Danio rerio: one gene and its partner. The protein of the gene in region 2 purifies or fractionates together with the protein of the main gene of each other region. This does not show direct contact. Links are inferred from orthologs where the notes say so. Each region holds a gene or a part of one and is shown on either strand. Other genes may lie near its edges.

Region 1 (4,006 bases), on a different chromosome or scaffold from region 2:
TGAGTAAAATCGGATTTAGTGGAAACAACGATGATGTTATTGCTGGTTATTGGTTCAAATTAAATTACCATAATCTTAAGACAACATCGAAATTGATATCACTGTGTGTTCAATGTTTTAAAAACACAAATAAAATCGTTCGAATCTCATTTCACTAGTTATAGACCATTTCAGTGTGGTCATGTCTTTGGCCCATGAACATTTCCTGCTTGTTATCAAACTATTTTATAACTGTATCAAGAAGCAATTCAATCATAACTTAATATTAAAACAGCTATCATAACATTATTTATTAATATGTGTCTCTTTTTAGATTCTTAGAAGCTATAGAAATGTAAAACAGGAAATACGTTGGGACCATTGTTTTTGTTCACATCCCTCAAAATGGTCTATAGGCAACCATTCAGTTTGGAAAAGAACATGTTTTCTATTGTAAATAAGTTCTGCATTATTGATATTCATTCATTCATTCATTCATTCATTTGTTGCTTGCTTGATTGAAAAATCTCAAATTATTAAAAAATGCATGTTACAAATATTTATATTCTTTTAAAATGTATTTAATTATGTTTTATTTGCATGGCTATTAAAATTTAAGGACATTAAAAACGTATACAACATTGGGTCATAGCAAAAAATCATGCAAGTTGGGTTATTAACTGTTTATTTTATTTTTATTTTTTTTGTTACGTGACAATCTTAAAAGTTAAAACAGAAGCAAATGTGAACAACAAGATATCTGAATTTACTGTGTGGTTTTTAAAAGCTTTATTGTGTCCACGCCAATAGCCAATATATTTTGAACATTTAGCCTACTATTAGCATTTAAGCAGCACATACTCAAAACTTGCATATTCTCATTTTTAAAGAAAATGTTTTGAAAGAAATATACATTTTGGGCCTGACTTCAAAGGTTTTGATTTTCGAGGTAAAATGTCTGCAAATAAATAAATATCACACATAGCATTAAAAATCATAATGTAATAATCACTCATCTGGTGAAGTAGCTGCTAATAAATATGAATTCATTTATTTTTCATCTGCAGTGTCTTACCTTAATAGGGAATCTTATAGACAAAAACAGTTGAAGTGTCTACATTTGTATAAAAATAAAATTCTGAATCCAGAATCAACGCACACTAAACTAGCAGGGACTTTATTTCTAGGGAATCTTAGGGCTTTTAATTTGCAGTCGTTTTCACCCGGAAACATTCGCGTGCTCGCGCTGTCGAGATTCGGCGCCTGAACGCACTGACATAGAAAGTCGTGGCTGTAGAGTTTTAATTCAAGACTTTTGGAAGCTAAAATACAATAAGAGATGTTTTACCACGTAAGTCAGTGGGTGTTTTAGTTTTACGTGATAAGTGAGTTGCAGCACTTATAAATGTCCGTCAATGTTTTCTGTGCTCACTGTTGTTTACACGTTGTTTGTCACAATAGATCTCTCTGGAGCATGAAATTCTCCTCCATCCAAGATATTTTGGACCCAACCTTTTGAACACAGTCAAACAGAAACTGTTCACTGAGGTTGAAGGAACATGTACTGGAAAGTAAGTTAACGTTACTTCATCAATAAATGAATGAACGTTATGAGATCTGACTCTCTAATGCTCGTGTGTTGTTTCCCAGGTATGGCTTTGTTATTGCAGTAACCACAATCGATAATATTGGAGCAGGGGTTATACAGCCGGGCAGAGGTTTTGTGTTGTATCCCGTCAAATACAAAGCCATCGTCTTCCGTCCCTTCAAAGGAGAAGTTGTGGATGCTGTTGTCACTCAGGTTAACAAAGTACGGTTTGTGTTTTTATTTTCATACAACAGTTACAAAAATATAAATATAAAACATACATTATATAGAACATCAGTACGGGATAATTAATACTTATTAAAACAATAATGCTCAAACAAGGTGTTGTGTACATAATGTTTTATTATTTTCTAATTGTTCAATAAACTGGAGACTATTATTGTGCTTATACTATGGTTACTAGACATAAATGTTCAGGTCAGATGATTTAAATCGAGACATTTTTCAGATTTCTGTCCTCAGACAGCTCACGTGTGTAATACTTATGTAGTGTCATAATTATCTTAGCCAAAGCCTTTAGTTTTGATTTTTAAATGTGAAATAACTGTAACCATTCATCGTAGTGATGTGGAACTAATGCAGTCAAGACCTGCCTGGAACTGCGAAAGCAGTGTGCTTATTTAAAAATAATTGAACACCTTAAGTTTCACCAGCCAATCAAAATCAAGCCCTGTAGTATAATTACCTTTGTTTCAGACCCTTGGCAAATGGTCCTCAGAGCTTTTATATAGGCATAAGGTGTTATCAGATTTTCTAGTTGTGATAATTACTGAAGCTTTTATCACAATCTATGGCATTCTCAAAATATTGACTTAAGCAGTTACAAATTAGTTTTAATAACAAATAAACACTACATTTTGTGTATTGCACTTAAATGTTCACAGTTGACAGATTTTCCTAGCAAAATAAACTGTAAAAGTATTTCAAAGTGCCATGGGTAACACTTTACTAAACAATTTCATTTGTTTTAAATGTCAGTGTTAGTCTTGAACAATATAACTGAATGTTATTAGTTAATTATTATTCGTTAAGAATTTTACTTAACCTAGGAATAAAGAATAGGAAACGAGTTGAACCAATGGTAATGAACAATAGGTCTGTAAATAATCTAAACATTTTCAGTCGATGTCATTGGCCAGATTCATGTAAAAAATGTTTGCTTGCAAATAAATAGTCTATTAAATTGTCATGTTATTGACACCACTACCGATACAATAATCTGCTTAAACTAAAATGTTTTCTAATACTATACAGAAATAATAATTCAATGTAATTTTGAAGTGTCCATGATACCAATTTTAGGATTGTTCATTATCAGGATATATTGCAGGGAACCTGGCACATGTTTAACCGGCACTTCTAAGAGTAAAAAAAAAGCCTGCACTGGCAAAACAAAATGAACACTCGAATTGCGGCTCCTGACAATACATTTGTCTTACAAAGTGAAAGCTCAATCTCTACATGACACTGAACATTAATTTTTCTCTGCTACAGATTTTTCCAGTGTTCAATGCATTTTTTATTTCTTTTTTTCCCAGGTTGGACTCTTTACAGAAATTGGCCCCATGTCTTGTTTCATTTCTCGACATGTAGGTTTTCATGGTAAAATATATTCGTGTATTGGTAAAAGACATGTGTAATTGTCTTAAATCTGTGTGTGTGTGTTTTTTTTTGTGTGTGTGAATCTAGTCTATTCCCTCTGAGATGGAGTTTGATCCAAACTCAAATCCTCCATGCTACAAGACAGTGGATGAGGTAGGATTGAATGCTTTTTGTTTTGAAAGTTGTTCTTTTTCAACAGTTTTAAACACAATTTTTATTTTTTTTTTTTAACAGGACGTTGTGATTCAACAAGATGATGAAATTCGACTGAAGATTGTGGGAACTCGTGTGGACAAGAATGATATTGTAAGTAAATGCCAGTTTTCTCGAATATGTCGATGATATAAATCATTTTTTCAATGTTTATTAACAGTTTTTAATGACTTGTTTTGTCCTTTTATTTATTTTTTATTAGTTTGCCATTGGATCTTTAATGGATGACTACCTGGGTATATGTTTTCTACGATTTAAGCTTGAAACTATACTTATTAAATTGATAACAGAACGTTTTAATTAAGTCTTCTTTAAATAATTTCTGGTGATGATATCAAGCTTTTGTCTGAACATGTCTCTTATTCTTCTAGGTCTTGTGAGCTGATTCCTCTGCCGTGAATATGGGAAATTTGAGAGTTGTTGCTGTGGTGGTGATGATACTTAGTTTGTGTATATACTGTAATTATTTCCCTATTCATTTAGATTAGTTTTTCTTTTTTTCCATTTTCTGTTTTTATTGTCTCCTTTTATTAAAATGTTGGTAGTACAGTTTCAAGTTCAAATTTGAAACCAGATGAAGTCGAATGGGAACAAAGAGTAGCT
Region 2 (3,500 bases):
CTTTTCCATAGTTTGATATCAACTTTTGACCTTGTGTTTCCCCTTATGTTAAATGCATCTTATGTTAATGATCAGGTCTGTTGTGCTGTTTTCAGGGTTGTTTGGTGAGCGCGAGCGGTCAGCATGTCGTCTTTCTCCGAGTCTGCGCTGGAGAAGAAACTGTCTGAACTGAGTAACTCCCAGCAGAGCGTCCAGACTCTGTCTCTGTGGATCATTCACCATCGCAAACATGCAGCGCTCATCGTGCGCGTCTGGCACAGAGAGCTGAAGAAGGGTGAGAGAGACACTCATTCACTGAAGCTTAACCCGGGTCAAAAATGGCCCATATACTTACTTTTCTAAAATGACCTTAAACATTTATTGTACATTGTCTTTTTTCATGAAGGCTGTGCACATTTAGAGTACAACAGTTGTCCTTTGGGTCTATTTTGACCCGCCAGCTATAAAAAAACTTTTACTCCACAGAAACTACTAGCACACACTACAACACACACACACAGAGTAGCTATGTTTCCATCCACATATTTCTATGCAAAGTTTGGATATGTGCATAAAAACACTGGTTAATGCAAACACCAAGAGGCACATACATTTTGAAAATGCGAATAAAAAACCTTTGCGCATAACTAAGTCGAATTAACTTTTATTTGATACGAAAAGATGCGCAATAAACTAAGATGGAAACGATTTTATGTGCATAAAAAAGTCATGTGATTTTGATATATGAGATCATGTGATGATAAAAACGTGTGTGAATGGACAAACCATCAGGCGGAGCACATTGTAAAACATCTGAAATGTTGTTTTGGTCATTCTAAAATGCCCTAACCATCTCAGTATTAGCGTTATTATATTATTAACCCTTGTATGGTGTTCGGGTCTGTGAGACCCTTTTCGTTTTTTTTTTTATTTTTTTTTTTTTATTAAACAATGAATTATTTTTTCAACCTGAAGTTCTTTGGCTTTGGCCTATTTTCTGTGAAGATCATAATTCCGAACAAATTTTCAATGACCGCATAATGTACCTCCACCCAGACATTTACATTACATACAAGGTGTTCGGGTTCACTAGACCCAGGTATAATAAGGGTGCTTTCACACCTACACTTTTGTTTCGGAACCTGTCTTGTTTGCCCAGTTAGTGCGGTTCGTTTAGCATATGTGAATCCACCAATCGCTCTCGAGTCCGCGCCAAATCAATCGCTCCGAGATCGCTTAAGTGAGGTGGTCTCGGCTCGATTGAAACGAACTCTGGAGCGGTTCGATTGCAGTGAGAAAGCGATCCGATCCGAGCGCGGTTATATCACAGTGTTTTATGGATATGTAATAGGCTTACGGCTATATGAAGAGAGAATTATGAGTATGGCGGGAACTTTTGCGAGTCTCCGGATGCCCGCAAACGAGTGATGATCTCCTGGCAATCTCGCATCTCCCTCCCGGTCCTCAAATAGGCTACGTCGCGCACCCTTCTCACCCCTCCCCACCTCATCTCTCCTTACTCTTCAGACACGTCGCGCGCACCCTGTCAAACACCACCAAACCACCACCTCTCCTGACAGCTGAGCGGGACGCTGCAAAATAAACCCTGACACTCTGACCAATGTGAGGAGAGTTTACTCGCACGTGACTTGTTTTAGCTCTTTTGGTCCGATTAGTAACTTTGCAGTGTGAAAGTGAACCGCTCCAAGAGCAAAGAGCAACAATGTAACAATTGTAATCCTTGTTTAGAACAACTGAATCGATTCACAGGTGTGAAAGCACTCATATCCTGTCCCATCTGCGAATTAGGGGCATAGTACTATAAATAAGACTTTGCCAGTGTGGTTCCTTATCAAAACTGATCAAGATGGCCAAAAGATTATCTGCTGCGAAGGCCTTGCAATTGATTGTGGAAGAGAGAGAGGAGCTTCGGATGATGATGTCCATGACCATTGTGGGAACAATACAAAAAAAAATCTGTTGGTTTTAAAAAAAAAAAAAAAACGAGAAGCACATTAATTCATCAGTATGATCTAACAAAGGTAAATGGCAAAAATTAACCATGTTTGCTGTGCATATGGCTTGTAATTGGGATTAAGTAAGCATTTGTTGAGTAGTTTAACGTCTCCTCCGACGGCCCGCACTCATATAGCATTCACGCCTGAGCACGCTTACGTCATCGATGATGCGCTCTTTAGTTTAACAGAAGAGAAGCACTCTGGGGAGCTCAGTGGTGGTTGCTTTAGTTATTGCATTAAATGGTTCGATATGCAGTGACACACAGTCAAATATTTCGCCTTATTTCGACTTAAAAGTCTTCGTGCGTCACGTATTAAAAGGTTTGCTGGAGGTGCAACTGTCGTGCAGTGAGGGGTTTAATAATCTACAATAGTTTGTGTTCATTAAACAGTAAGAATGATTGATAAATCCATATGAAACAGTCCCGTAAAAGTCATGTCTCGTCTTCAGTTTGGAGCTCAGGCGCACTTTGCACTCGCACTGTAAGCCCAAATGAACTGCGCTCTAGCACACCTCTTCCATCCGGGCCAGGGCTGGCCAACTGAATCATGCCTAAGGCCGATTCAGAACACTCACACTTTTCAAACGATCCGGGAAACGGGCCTGGCATGGTTCAGATACACCCATACTCTCTCACATTCATATACTCGTATACTACAGCCAATTGAGCTTGTTCAATTCCCTTATACCACATGTGCTTGGACTTGTGGGGGAAACCGGAGTACCCCGGGGAAACCCATGCCAACACGGGGAGAACATGCAAACTCCACACAGAAACGCCAACTGACCCAGCCGGGACTCGAATCAGCGACCTTTTTGCTGTGAGGAGACAGTGCTAACCACTATGCCGCCATAATTATCATCAATCAAGCTAAAAGATTGTGTTTGACTCTGTTCAGTCAGTGTTGGTGTTTTTTTGTACAATGAACGTTTATTAAGAAGAAACCGATATGATTGCATGTTATATATTGTATATTTAGTGTGGGTTTAGCTAATGCTGCTTATATGGCATTAAAACACTAATAAATAAAGGTAATAGTGATGATGTGTTTGTTTTTCAGCTAAAAGCAGCAGGAAGTTGACGTTCTTGTATCTGGCCAATGATGTGATTCAGAACAGTAAGAAAAAGGGTCCAGAGTTCGCAAAAGACTTCGAAGGCGTCCTGATTGATGCCTGTTCACACGTGGCCAGGTAAACAAACCCTCATTAATGCTTTTTGTTGTTCGTTTTCAAAAGCATAGATATAGTTGAAGTTATTCGCCCTCCTGTGCATTTTTCTCAAGTATTTCCCAAATGATGTTTAACAAATTCAGGAGTTTTTCACAGTATGTCAGATAATATTTATCCTCTAGAGAAAGTCTTGTTTGTTTTATTTCAGCTTGAAAAAAAGCAGTTTTTAATTGATTTAACGCCATTTTAAGGTCAAACTGATTAACCCCTTTAAACAATATTTATTTTGGCTTGTCTCTAGAACAAATCACTGTTATACAATGACTTGCCTG

Evidence for each region. Proteins that work in one complex are often made in the same cells at the same time.
Region 1: the proteins of rprd1b (region 2) and polr2g purify together in Homo sapiens (affinity purification with mass spectrometry; 3 studies listed by BioGRID and IntAct, counting the BioPlex papers as one, with this or other methods). This does not show direct contact. The link is inferred for Danio rerio from reciprocal best matches to the Homo sapiens genes RPRD1B and POLR2G.

Annotation. Positions count from the first base shown.
Region 1 is NC_133189.1:30,990,819-30,994,824, forward strand, and holds the start of polr2g (DNA-directed RNA polymerase II subunit RPB7), read left to right. Parts: upstream 1-1,206; 5' UTR 1,207-1,318; coding exon 1,319-1,330; intron 1,331-1,440; coding exon 1,441-1,550; intron 1,551-1,629; coding exon 1,630-1,789; intron 1,790-3,126; coding exon 3,127-3,177; intron 3,178-3,277; coding exon 3,278-3,343; intron 3,344-3,424; coding exon 3,425-3,496; intron 3,497-3,605; coding exon 3,606-3,639; intron 3,640-3,774; coding exon 3,775-3,788; 3' UTR 3,789-4,006. UniProt on the Homo sapiens protein: Core component of RNA polymerase II (Pol II), a DNA-dependent RNA polymerase which synthesizes mRNA precursors and many functional non-coding RNAs using the four ribonucleoside triphosphates as substrates.
Region 2 is NC_133198.1:46,861,870-46,865,369, reverse strand, and holds part of rprd1b (regulation of nuclear pre-mRNA domain-containing protein 1B), read left to right. Parts: intron 1-95; 5' UTR 96-123; coding exon 124-274; intron 275-3,059; coding exon 3,060-3,189; intron 3,190-3,500. UniProt on the Homo sapiens protein: Interacts with phosphorylated C-terminal heptapeptide repeat domain (CTD) of the largest RNA polymerase II subunit POLR2A, and participates in dephosphorylation of the CTD by RPAP2. Transcriptional regulator which enhances expression of CCND1.